Linked DNA regions of Daphnia pulex. Each later gene encodes a partner of the first gene's protein in a complex. Links are inferred from orthologs where the notes say so. Each region holds a gene or a part of one and is shown on either strand. Other genes may lie near its edges.

Region 1 (7,031 bases):
CAGCCACGAGCCGCTAGAAATGACGCAGCAGTTTCCCAGTGGAATGAAAGTGACTCAAACCGATCCCGTAAGATCCGATCTCCTCCAACCCTTTCGTCCTGCGTGCTGCAATCTATTAGCTAAAGGATCCCACCCTATTTTTAAAAAGGTCATCATCCAATGAATTCGAAATACAAAACTCGTTTTAATCCCATTATACGGAGGATCTTAATTGAAGCCCTAAGATGATAGGCATCGTAATAACGATGGAGGTTATTTATATAGTCTTGGGATAACACTCGAGGGATCCGCTGTCATCGCATAAGCGAATAACTCAACAACGTCAAGCTGTTTAATTCCCAAAAACTTTTTCCATCCAGTGAAAATATTTAGATTCGTTCTCCCGAAAATGACTAAAAGCTATTACGCCCTTCAAAAAAGTTGTGTTGTTTTCTCATGTGCTTATAGGATACTGCTGTTGTTTTTAACATGCACTTAAACAATGGCTCGACGAATAAAGGGTGAATTCTAAGTGTGACATGGTGGAATCATTTAATTATAAGATTAATTGGACTTTTCACTTTTAAAGTTTCACATTTAAGAGATGCGAACTTTCGACCAAAGTTGCCACTGTAACTTGACTGATTGTATGTTTTTAAAACCATTTTTTCGTGCGATATAATTGACTCAACTTTTCGTGTCAAATCGGAACTATATGACCTGATTTAGATTTCATGGAATCAAAGGCAATTAATTGTCTAATTATACACGCACGGACGATCACCATAGCGACGTGAAATGGTTTTTTGTAAAACTGGTGAGTAGGTCTACTTGTTCTAATTAATGACTTAGGTTCTTCCATCATCACATTAAATAATAGTCATTATTTTAACCAAATTATTTCCATGATTTTTATAGTTTACAGGGTCCTTCCAATTGCTGGGGTATACGTGAACAAAGTTACATTTCGGCATGTGTTTTAAGCATGTGCGTGACTGGTTGGCCGTCTTTTGTCGTCACCACTTGAAAAACATGGAACCATCCATCCGGCTAGCTACAGGCAGCAGCAGCAGCCCCCCAACGACTGGGAGCGCTCATTAGGAACGGATGTTGTGACACGCGATTAAAAGCCATCCTGAATATACTGTAAACATTTCACTAGTTCATGTCATATCATTCACATGAAACATGTCCTCCCCTGTGACATCAACCATTTCAAAAAGAAATTTTTGAATTTATTTTCATGATAAGCAGATGGAAGAACGCCCCAGTCCGTCCTTGTTGAAACTTTTCCCCTCGTTTTTTTTTTAGTTTTGATAATGAGTCCAGCAGGTCGAATCCTAAGGTCCTGGCAACAGCAAAGTTCGTTTAGTTTTGTGCTGGTTGCCTTTTAACGGCTCTAGGAAACTTTTTGGCGGACGCCAACAACTCCTACCGCGCTGCTATCGTGTAGAAACTCCATTAACGTGTACCGAATCCAATAGTTGGATGAGCAATTCCCCGGTGATGACTGCAAACGGATGTAAGCTTTTGACCACTTGGTTATTTGCTTTCAAGTCCCCGTACGCTCGCCTGAATGACTTCCCATGTATACAACCTAATCTAGATTTCTTCCGACTAACATTGAAAATGTCCACCACCAACTGTATACGATTACAAGAATTTTTCGGTACCGTAATTAGTAACATTGTCCCCTGGGTCTTGGACTAGTTTTGGGTCACGTTATTAGAATCTTCTCGAAAACTAATTGCAATTCTTGGTAATTTGAACATATATTTTTCTTCTTCTTCTAAATATTCCTGAATCAAAAGGGGGCGACAACAGCTTCTGCAGCGAACAGGGAAAAGATGAGACAAAAAAAGAATTCGGAAAGTTTTGTGTGTTAACAAAAAAAGAGAAACGAAACAAAAGAAGCGAGGGAGGACAAACACGAATGGCTTTTGTTTCTTTGTCCCCAGGTATTTTTTCCTCTCCACCGCTCATCCAACACCCGACATGAAAAAAGAAATTCCGCACATGCACACGCACAGGCACACGAAAAATCCTTAAATTGAAAGCGAAATTCCTCCGGATTGTATTAAATGAAACATTATCTTGATTTTCCCCTAGTAGCGCAATTTCAACCTTGAATATTTTCACCACTCTGCATCACCGTTGGCCTTTTGAAAGACGTAATCGCGACCGTTAATGTTCATGATGCCGTCCTTGAGATGAAACTTCCACCTGTTTCGACTTCTCGTAATCTACAAATAGAAAAAAAAGTCATTTAAAACATTTCAATTCCAATTCGAATGCTAAAATTCAAATCCTTGCCTTGTCGTACTGGCACACGACGACGTTATCAGTTTCAAATAACACTGAGGGATCATCATCAGTCACATCGTCTTCAGAGTTGAGTGGCTCCTCGTCTGCGTTCTCTTCGTTGTCTGCGTCAATCTCCTCGTCGTCATGATCGTCCTCTTCTTCCACGTCGTCATCGTCATCATCTTCAACATCGTCGTCGTCGTCCGAAGAGTCTCCGGGTCCATCCAACTGTGTGACTCCTCCATTGTCAGTTCGCGATTGGCTCCGTGCAGCTGTCGACTACAAAGAAAAGTAATAATGCATTGTACACACATTATTATATACACTTTCGAGTGGATTCAATTTCAACCAATGGTACCTGCAACGCGTTATTAATGTGCTGCTGCAAGACAGTCGTGGCCATTTCAACTGGAAGAGAGAGAGCCGCCGTCACAGCCGGTGAACTCAGGATCGTTTGCAGCTGCGCTCCCGCTGCGCCACCTGTGACATTATTACAAATAGTAAAGAAATTAGATTGGAGCTAGTACGAACGAGATTCAATTGGGAAATAACCTTGAAGAGCATGAGCTGGAACGTGAACAGTGATGCTCTTGGCTGCTGTATGACCTGCTACTCCAGCCTGAGGAGGAACAGTGATTTGGACTGGCACCGTCCTTACTGTTGTCGTAGCAGGGGCTGCAGCTGCTGCTGTTGTTGCTGCACCTGTAGCTGCATTAGGGGTAGTCACTGGGGTTTGGGCTGCTGCTGCTGCTTTAGAGAAAATAAAAACAAACAAACAAAACAATTAATAATAATGCACTCAATGTAACAGTATACCCAACTACCTGGTTGCTTTGCCGTAGTGGCTGCCTGTTGAGGTGTAGAATTGTTCGCAGGAGCTGTAGAGCTAGCCTGCTGACCTGCTTTTGACGGCAAAGAAGACCCTTTTTTCATACATGATAAAGTCTCATAATCGATATTGGATACTTTGTTGCAGTTTGCTTTGGAGAGAAGTTTCAGCAGGATCGGTCACAGGGTCGATTGCTTTGCTGGACTGCAATTTGTTTTCCCAATTCTGCTTCAATTCGAGAAGTACAGCCTCATCGATTCCTTCGTCAAGAAACGCCTCTCGAACCCCGTTGATAACATCTTCAATAACGCCACGATACAGTTTCGACTACAAAAAAAGAAATATAAAAGTCCTTAATTAGACCAACGAGGAGTGAGATCGAGCTCGTGGAGTGGAATCGTCAATGCAACAACAGTTTCCAGGTACTATTCCCCATGAAATATTATCATAAAGTAAAAGGTAAATAAATACCACGAGTGCCTGATTGGCGGCCATTCTTTAACGAAATTGAATTTTATTTGATTTCAATTCCGGGAGGGCTTCGTTCAACAGGAAGCCGACATGAAAACTAAGACTGACGCGGCAATATATATCGAAATGCCCCCGATGGCAGCGCCACGAAGCGTGATTTTGGCTAAGCATAGCATCTAGCGGTCGAAAAAAACATTCTTTCTGCTAAAAGTAAAGCCGTTTGTTATCGTTTCGACACGTTTGAATCGAATGAACAAGAAACGTTTTTATTAGCGGCCTAAGTCTCAGTATTCGTTGATTTTCATCAACGAGATGGATGAAAAATCCGAGATTTTGGTTTTAAACGCCGAAGATGAAGATACCTTCCAAAAGTTGTATTCCGAAGGTCTCAAATATAGCAAGCAATGCTCGGAAGAAAGCATGCCAGTTCCAAAGTTCTATACCAAAGTAAGCATAACTTCCAATTGATTCCCTATAAATTTCTTATGTTTTTGTTACACAGCTTCCTAATCATGAAAACATGATTAGCCTTAAACTGAGAGAAGAAGCTAGAACAGCATTCCTTCAGAAGAAGAGCAAAGAACTCCTCGATAACAATGAACTGCAGGTTTGTTAATGTCATTGCCAGTGTTTGTGCTACTGGTAAATAAGATTTTCATCCTGTCTTTAGAATCTCTGGACTTTACTTGACAAAAATCACAGCCCTCCTGCTGGTTCTGAGCAGATGATCAATTATATTGATTTTCTCAAAGTAGGCAACATAGCTGGTCCAAAATATAAGTAAGACATGTAAATATTTGATTGGGAACACCAAGTTATTTTTTGAATTCCCCTATACAGAGCATTCTTTACACCAGATGTATTTGCAAGGCTATTGCAGAATGATATTCATGGCAGAATATCAACCATGGCAGTGTTCAATTACATCATGAGGAAAGTTTGGTTACAGCAAACTAGAATTGGTCTTTCATTATATGATGCCACAGGACAAGGTCTGCTTACTGAAATGGTGAACATCAGCAATATGTTTTTTGTTTTTGCAATATGTAATTTACTTATCTATTTTTGTTTTTCCCAGGATTTAGAGAACTACATAACTGAACTTATCCCAACATTGCCACAGTTAGAAGGGCTTGAAAAGTCATTCCATTCGTTTTACGTCTGTACCGCCGTACGCAAGTTCCTCTTTTTCCTAGATCCATTAAAGCTAGGCAAAGTCAGGATACAGGATATTCTCGCTTCTGGTTTTCTGGACGAACTTTTAGAGGTATTTAGTATATTCCTGATTCTTTTGTCATTCTTCTCGCTAAAAATATTATAATTCATCAGCTACGGGATGAAGAGCTGCCCAAAGATGCACAGGATTCAAACTGGTTTTCTGCGCCCTCCGCTCTGAGAGTCTACGGTCAATACTTAAATTTAGATACCAACAGAAACGGCATGCTTTGTCAGGAAGAGCTCAGACGGTAATTTACCATATTTCAATTTGCAGTACGTACATTTAAGATTTTTTTTAAATTTAATTTTCAGATTCGGAACTGGCACGTTGACGCGAGTTTTCATTCAACGAGTATTCGAGGAGTGCATGACCTATGAGAAAGAAATGGATTATAAAACGTACTTGGATTTCGTATTGGCCATGGACAATAAAAAGGAACCACAAGCACTTCAGTATTTTTTCCGTTTGTTGGACGTCAATCATCGAAACCATCTCAACACTTTTGACCTCCATTTTTACTTCAAAGTATTAATTTCCTCATTTGACCTTTTGACTTTCTTATCTTGAAAAAAAAAAAAATGCTTTGCAGGGGGTTCAAGAGTTGATGCAGCAGCACAAACAAGAAGTCGTTGCTTTTGACGACGTCAATGATGAGATTTTCGATATGGTGCGTCCTGCCGATCCGTCAAAAATCACTTTACATGATTTGATTAACTGGTAACACACAAAGTTCATTTAGAATTTTTTTAGAATAAGATTGTCATTGAACGTTTTCTGGCTCAGTGGATACGGTGAAACTGTGATCAATATCTTGATTGATTTGGATGGATTTTGGACATACGAGAACCGTGAAGCTGTTGTCGTAACAGACAAGAATAACCAAGAGAAACAGGACATTTGAATTTGGAATTCTTGTACATAGAAATTGTGAGTGTATTTTTTAAAAAAAAGCAAAGAAGTAGCAAGATCGCGGAATGGATTGTAGGTGCGATCTCATCACCATTTCCCTCTTTTGGACCAGTCTTTCGGTGTCCAGTGCAAGCATTTGGGATCGATGTGTAATTTCCATTTCTCTTTGTTTTTTATGCAATTTTTCATCGCTTCTTCGTTCAGAATGAGTACGTACTGCCCCTTGTAGTAATTGATGAGGTTCAAATGCTGTAAGGTGGACACCACGTCCTCTTTTTTAATGCTCGTCATTTCGCAAATTTCGCTATTTAAATTAAAACGAATTCGTTTGTCAACGTGAGCTCTAGAATGAAGTAATTTACATCACTTACTTGATGGTAATTTGAGGACGTTCACCTTCACTGGATGGTTTCATATTCATCAGAATATCACAGATTGTAAAAGCCCAGTAACTGCGATAAGACAGCAACCCTAAATCGGACAGAGGTTTTTCTGGCGAGCCCGTTTTGCCTTCGAACTTGGACAGCTCGTAACCTTTACGTAAACAAAAATGGTTTTAAAAAAATATTTCCCCTTGGGTTTACGATTCTGTACGCACTGAATTCAATAAGAAGTTTTCCATATCCTTTCCGTTGATAGGGTGGTAATGTTAAGATGCAGGCGACATTGTAGTCCTCCGAGCTTTCTTTCTCTTTGCTAAAGTAGCCGACGATATGAAAACCTCGTGCATCCACTTCAGTCATGACGTAAAAGAGGAACGGATCAGTGTCGTAATACAGTGTCTTGTGATCAAGGAACAGTTTCGCTAGCAGGCATAGGTTCTGAGCGTATGCTTTATTTTTACGGCCGTCGATTTCAAAAAAAGAAATTGTCTGTTTGCGGTAAACTTCATTGCCTGGCGGATGTCTAAGATTGCACTTCATCTGTAGAAAAAGTTTAAGGGTTGATCATCCAATTAAAAATATATCGTAAAATTTTAAATTACCAGATGACGTTCTAGACATTTTTCACTTTTCCGGTACTTGAGACAAAACTCGCATATGTAAATACAAGCTTGGTGAACCATTTCCTAATTTTTGAAAAAGAATAGTAAACATTTCGGATCTTTACGTTCGTTAGATGATGACATACCTGAGGGTAGGGTGCGAAATACCAAGGTTTTATTCTGTGTCTGCCGAGTTCAATCATTTGAATATTTTTCATTCGTGTTACAACGTCATCGTGATGTGTAACAAGACTGCCCGACTGACGTGGCCCTGGTGTAGTCGGTGCAGGGGTGGACGGTGGGGCCGGAGAGTTAGCATCTCCTACCTCACAAAC
Region 2 (6,522 bases), on another chromosome or scaffold:
GAGACACTGCCCGACTGACTCTACCAGGGAGATTACCCGGCCGTGGTTAAGAGAACCCGGAAAAAGAGCGAAGAGAGCTGAAGAGCAGTTATTATGAGAGCAATGCATCATGGTAGGCTTCCGGCTTAGACTCATGACCCTTCAACAGATTTCATCGAATCATGCGCCTTGCAAGTCCCCGTTCGACCAAACATCTCCCTTCCTCCTGGTTGTCGCAGCGAGTGAGTGACCACCGGCGGGCGTTGGTTAGTGGTTATTTAGGGAAACGGGGCCACTGAAGAAGGGAGCCCAGATATGCACCTGTAACTGAACGAAACACCAAGCATTACCTCAACACCTGTACAGGTAACAAGAGACGACATATCGACAAAATGCAGCCGATAAAACAAGACCGACAGCCATCAGGCAACATTGACTAACCCAACTTTTCAACACGGCATATACTGCACGGACACAAATATAGGCAAATGACAAATTTAAGTGTGATGTTGAACTGCAAGTGTGAACAAGAATCCATTTCAGAGCATCTCTCAACTGGAAGGGACTGCAAAACCACTGTAGTCCAAACAGCAACACCGTAAACAGCTCAAACCGACCATGAACTCCTACAAAGCAAAAGAACATTAATGAAACTATATGAAATGTGAAAAAGGGTACTGATAATAAAATTTACTTAATTTAAAATTAACAATTAATTTTAATTGAAAAAGATACCAGAAAAGAATTATGTACATCTACTTCCAATATGTTATAAACTTGTTAATACTGAGTGGGAATTTTTGTTCTAGTTTGATGTGAAGGAAATTGTTAACTCAGTGAAAGGCTGAAAGCTGACCAACAATGTAGCTTCCTTTTGAAGAAACAATTATTTGGAAGAAAAAAATGTTACCCTTAATTTTCTTCATCACATAACTTGTCAGTTCAATCAAAATTAAAAAAAAAAAAAAAAAAAACTCAAGACTTCCCAAGTTACAACCAATAATATCAATCAAATTACCAATTCAAGAAGTTTTCCTGCAGTAACACTAGGGATGGGATAACACCAGCTTGATAAACTGCATGCAGCACCTGCAGCTCAACAGGACTCGACCACACCTTTCCCCAGCTGGCTGCAACAAAAACAAAATTAATGATATGACTGCCATGAAGCTCAGACTTTGTCATGTTCTCAACTTCTACAACAGTTGAGCAAAGTGATCTCCATCTCTGATCTGAAAAATCAACTAATAAAACCTATTGCATTATTGCAGAGAAATTGATCAACAAAATTTACTTTACTAGCTCTGAAGTGTTTCTGCACGAGATGAGACGTACAGCTAACAATGACCGACATTTCGACAAAATGGACAACAGTTTCGACCCACGTCGTTACATTATTTGGCCAAGTGAAACTATATGCCAAAATTGCCTGTAAATTCAGACAGAAACGTCATAGATAAAATTTCATGGCTGAAAATGAAGATTGACACTGTAATTACGTTATGAATTTGGAATACACTTTTGGTCAGCGTCTCGGAAACAAATGACAAATATTTCGTCCTCACGAAGACACTCGCGCCACCTGGTGGATGGGGGAAATCCATTTTAGCCACCTACCGACAGCCAAAAGATTCCCTCACGATAAACGAAGCAAGAGCTAACTATTTTCACCACCAGGTTTTGCTAGCCAGTAGCCACCTTATCTGCCTTTATTTACATTTTCATAGAATCGTGTTACAATGTGTAGCGTACCAAGTTGTTACAATAAGTAAACAATAATGACTAATCTACAAAACAGAACATGTATAATTTAATTTCGTAAGATAGTCAGCTTCCCAGCTATTGGGTGTCTATTTTACGCGTGCTCCGTTGTAAGCTATCATCCATCAATTATTCTTTATCTTGCTATTAGCAAACTGATTTACAACACTGCGACAGATATCGTTCTGAGCGATAACACTGCATAGCAAAATGCAGCTCACTATGATTCAAACACCAATATCTGCTGATGGCTCGCAGTCAACTAGTTCTAACATGGATTTCATCCTCGAAAAAATCTGGAACAAACCAAATGCTCCTCTTGAAGAGTTCTTTGGTATTATTTTTTTTTCACCCACATATTAAATTTAGAGGAAACATGTTACCTATAATAAAAATATTCAATGCCCAATACATCTAGAAATGTGGTACAACGTTTTCTTGTGGGCAATGTTTTCTTCCATCTTCATTCATTCCGTTGCTGCCATAATTGCATTTCTGACATTAAGGAAGCATGCAGTTGGAAGGTAAAATATACCTAAGCATTCCACATATTCTGTTACAACTAAATATAATCTTTTGGCAATAGGTTTTACTCCATCATAATTCTTTTGATGGGAATTATCACACCTCTAACAACAGGTGCAGTGACAAGCGCAGTTGTGTCATTTGTGTATGAAAACTCAGGACTAGTCATGGCTAGATGGCATGTTGCACTTTGGGGTGTGGGACAAACATTCTGCAGTGCTTGTTTTGGCTTCACTAGAATTCTTGCAGTATTATAGATCACCAATGTATTTTTCATATTCACCATATTTTGCTGTGCTACATAAGTTCCTTTTTTACTCCATGTCCACCTGAGATCTTATAAGACAAATTAAATAAGTTTGATGATATTCGGCTTTACTTAATTCTTCGTGTATTAATTGCATTAATACAAAACCATTACAATTATTTCGAACAAAATGGAAAATCAGTTGATGGCGAGGGCATCGTTTTGCACTTCGTGGCTCAATTGGGTCTGCAAATCAGAAAGTTTCTTCTTGAGAATAGCGATTCCCATTAAGACAATATTTTCTGGTCGTAAAGATCCACAAGATTCCACGTTAACAAAAAATTTGTTAGGTTTGCCATCAGGATCGTATGGGGCTTCATCTAAAAATAAATAAATAAAAATTCAAATAAAACTAGTTAAACCATAAAAATTCGTTTAAAAATTACGTTGATCTGATTCGCCCAGCTCCGAATATTCACTCCTTGGCCATTCTTCAGGTTTCGGGAACAAAGTATGCCTCAATGAATTATCAGGGTCGTACTCAAAGGCCACTCCAGCTGTTGGATTCCATTTTGCATGTTCTTTACCAAAACCTAAAAAAAAATATATATTTTCAAGAAGGAGAAACAAATTGAACTGCAACAAAATTTACCTTTCTTGGCATATGCCCGCATTTTGAGTTCTTGTCCTTTACGAAGCTTGACAATTAAAATTTCTAAAACAAACAAAAAAATTTATAATCAAACTCAGATTCCAAACTTTAGAAATGTTCTGCAGTACCATTATCATTGTCATCTGGTGGCTCTTCATCCCGTTTGGAGGTAGCTGGAACCACTCTTGGATCAGTACTCTTTAGATCAGCAGTGGTGACATTGCGTGTAACATCCTCAGAACATTTAACATCCAAAGTGAACTCCACTGAGCAATCAACACAGAAATCTGGACAAGTGCAGTCTCTGGAATACTGCATCTTTTCAACAGAGTCATCACTAGTCAGTGGAATAAGACCCACACGATGTGCCAAAAATTCATCAAACAAGACAGTGGAATTTGCTTCAAACTGGACCCAATCAATGGCTAATGTAGGGGTTTCAGCAATGAAGACTCGCCTCAGAGAGTTTGCTACACTGAAATGTGATAAAGGCATGATATAAATGTTCTCATTACCAACAATTTAAGTAAATACCTAAGGTCTGTGTCTGAAATCTGAAATTTAACATTTTCCTCTGTTAGTTCGGTCAATTTGAGATTTGGTTGATTGGCGTAGGGCATTCTTAAGTAAGTTGTATTATTCAAAACAACAAACGTTAAGAATAATTACTTGCCGGCTTCTCGTTTCGACTCTCGCTTCCTTCTGCAAGTCTGCAACAAGCTAGCCCAAACAATGAGTCGTGTACAAGAACCTCCTTATTCTGTCACCAGATGGCAGGTATTACGAAGGCTGTGCGGGAAAATTTCATTTTTCTAAAAATTGAAATTTTTTCTAAAATTTTGGAAGTTTAATGTTGAAGATGTTGATTGCGTATTATTGGTTTGTAGATTTATTTTTTGATGAAAGAATTCGATACACCGTTTCCATTATTTAGAAATTGTTTCGACTAAATATTGGGAAATATAAACCATGTTTTGTTTTCCTCTCCTATCGCGCATCAGAATGTGCGCCGCTTTTAACGGCTTAACCAACGTAAATTGACTCACCAGACTGTTCATATTTATTTTGAAGTGCAATTCACTTTTTGAATACAGTGTTGAAATAGTTATTGTTTATATTTAGATATCATAACTTGGCTTTCTTCAGATTTTTAACTTGTGAAATTCTTTTCGGTTCAGGTGCGACGAAATGGCGTCAAACGAATCGTCCGATCCAAGGTCCAAAAAGTTACCGGTATCGAAGGAAGTACAGGAAGTTCGCCATGATGGATTGAGGATCTGATGACACGTCACCCAATATTACGACATTCCAATTGCGCGGGTCCCAATCTGGAAGAAACTTTGGCTAAACGCGGTTAACTGTTTAGAAAGAATTTTTTTTTTTTCAATCAACGAATAAAAATCTCATTCTAGATGACAGTTGTATGTTTGGCATCACGGAAATATTACACAGCTAATGATATTAAAATAAAAAAAATGAAAAAATAAAAACTACACGCATATCATAATAATTAAATGATGAGAACCCAAAGTTATTTTTATCAAAATGTGGTGTACAGCCGGAAGTGTGGGAAATATAAGGAAACATAAAAAAAGAAATTTTTTGACATGTACATAAATTTAAAAAAACCCAAGGTTACGTAAGGATAATGCAAAATTCCGCAATCTCTCTTTCTCAAAAAAAAGAAAGAAAAATCTAAATTTATACCAAATGAGTATCTGTTTGTTTTTTTCAATACCGTATGCAAATTGTATGCATTATGCACATCGACGTCGGTTCTTTTTCACTTGAAAAAGAAAAATGAAGGAAACCAATACTCGAAGGTAATCATATCGTTTCTTGCCGTCCAGTTTTTGAATTCAAATTATCATTCAAAATCTACGAAACGGGATCAATTTTCATCGTAGAATAAAAAAGGAAAGCGAACAGAGTCGAGGGATCAAAAGTAATTTGAACATTGTACATCCCCCGCTGTATATTCCCCCCCCCCCAACACACCAGTAAACTTTGACTTTTTAAAATACAAAAACCAAAGATTATGTCATCAAACGCGTCAAAAGCCATGTAATATTAAGGACTGAGCTGAGGAGGGACGATTGGGGCAAAGGTAGAGAGTAGGAGCTGCTAAATCCTTGCCATTCGATATACTTAGTTTATAGGTGTCTACCTGGGGGGCTTCTCGAAGGAAATGCTAAACACACACGTAAAGCCATAGAGATATAAAGTTGGAGGAACTGGTATAAGGGGGAGGATGAGAGAACGGCCACTCAATATTATTCTAATTAGCGCACAATATTTCTGGAACCGAGGGTTATTATATAAGAGGAAAAGAAAAAATATGTACAAAAAGATTACTATCATCTTTAAAAAAAAATCTTATCAGGCCCCAATGAAAGAAATATATGAATCAAAATTAAAATTTTTAAAAATTCGGCTTTTTATTTTGTTTGAAAAAACTTATATCAGCGCTGGCCTCCCTTAATTTGATTTTTTTTGTTTTTATTTTTATTATTTTTATTTTAATTTTCTTTACAAACTGATTGAGAGAGATGTGTGACGAGTAAAAAAAAATGAGTCGGGGGAATAAAATGGAGTCCTCAAACTCAAAACTCCTCATGATAGAAAAAAAAGAGTTTAAACTTAATTCCCTCCGTTATTTTGTTTTACTTGGAAAAAAGAAAGAAAGTAAATTCGAATTGATAAGAACGGCTTTTGTATGTATAGCTGGGGGGCTGGGCAACGGTTGCGAAGGAGAATTTTCCCTTTTATCTTTTGAAATATTTCTAGAATAAGAAATAAAATAAAATAAAATAAAAAAATGGTAACTCGTATTTAGATGTAGATGTTGGCGGACGCCAGTGCGGCGATCAATAGAGTGAGGAGCGAGTGACAGAGTAGCTGCTGCTGGGCCGGAGCTGAGTTGAGAACGGGCACGGCCGCGGCTACGAGTTTCTTGGTTTTCTCGACCTGGACGTCGGCGTAGTCTCCGGTGCCGGCCGCAGTGCGTGCTGCAACCCTCACTTCGTAAGTCGTATCCTGCTGCATTCCGGCGACTCTGTACGGCTGGCTGGGCACTGTTTTATGTCATCAAGTTAACGACAAAAACAAGAAAAAACAAAACACACACAGACGGATTTAGGCATTAGAATCTGAAACTTTTTCCCAGCTGATGTAGTAGAAACGAATGGTAAATGCTATGCGGATTGACTTGAGCGGATGAGAGGAAGTGCAACGATGAATAATAATATCAGTTTCCAAGTTTGCCTTTTTCTTACTTCTTTCGAATTCTTTTTCTTGTGCCCGGCTCCACTCCTGGGACGCTTGTTTGAACTGCACCACGTAGCCGGTCACGTCCATT

Evidence for each region. Proteins that work in one complex are often made in the same cells at the same time.
Region 2: transcription initiation factor IIA subunit 1-like (region 1) and DNA-directed RNA polymerase II subunit RPB3-like share a complex: the UniProt entries of both Homo sapiens proteins name them as parts of the TBP-based Pol II pre-initiation complex. The link is inferred for Daphnia pulex from reciprocal best matches to the Homo sapiens genes GTF2A1 and POLR2C.

The regions. Positions count from the first base shown.
Region 1 is NC_060018.1:12,588,389-12,595,419, reverse strand, and holds transcription initiation factor IIA subunit 1-like, read right to left. Parts: upstream 3,731-7,031; 5' UTR 3,608-3,730; coding exon 3,584-3,607; intron 3,440-3,583; coding exon 3,250-3,439; intron 3,207-3,249; coding exon 3,108-3,206; intron 3,037-3,107; coding exon 2,836-3,036; intron 2,764-2,835; coding exon 2,642-2,763; intron 2,563-2,641; coding exon 2,293-2,562; intron 2,223-2,292; coding exon 2,115-2,222; 3' UTR 1,733-2,114; downstream 1-1,732. Other genes in the region: serine/threonine-protein phosphatase 2A regulatory subunit B'' subunit gamma-like, read left to right, coding at 3,896-4,030, 4,086-4,190, 4,254-4,363, 4,424-4,592, 4,662-4,850, 4,913-5,049, 5,114-5,327, 5,392-5,519 and 1 more; histone acetyltransferase Tip60-like, read right to left, coding at 5,799-6,015, 6,083-6,245, 6,310-6,634, 6,697-6,780, 6,843-7,031. UniProt on the Homo sapiens protein: TFIIA is a component of the transcription machinery of RNA polymerase II and plays an important role in transcriptional activation. TFIIA in a complex with TBP mediates transcriptional activity.
Region 2 is NC_060024.1:10,721,700-10,728,221, forward strand, and holds DNA-directed RNA polymerase II subunit RPB3-like, read right to left. Parts: upstream 3,892-6,522; 5' UTR 3,785-3,891; coding exon 3,699-3,784; intron 3,640-3,698; coding exon 3,293-3,639; intron 3,228-3,292; coding exon 3,165-3,227; intron 3,106-3,164; coding exon 2,959-3,105; intron 2,893-2,958; coding exon 2,711-2,892; 3' UTR 2,640-2,710; downstream 1-2,639. Other genes in the region: transmembrane protein 170A-like, read left to right, coding at 1,951-2,074, 2,159-2,264, 2,327-2,522; neural cell adhesion molecule 1-like, read right to left, coding at 5,997-6,238, 6,440-6,522. UniProt on the Homo sapiens protein: Core component of RNA polymerase II (Pol II), a DNA-dependent RNA polymerase which synthesizes mRNA precursors and many functional non-coding RNAs using the four ribonucleoside triphosphates as substrates.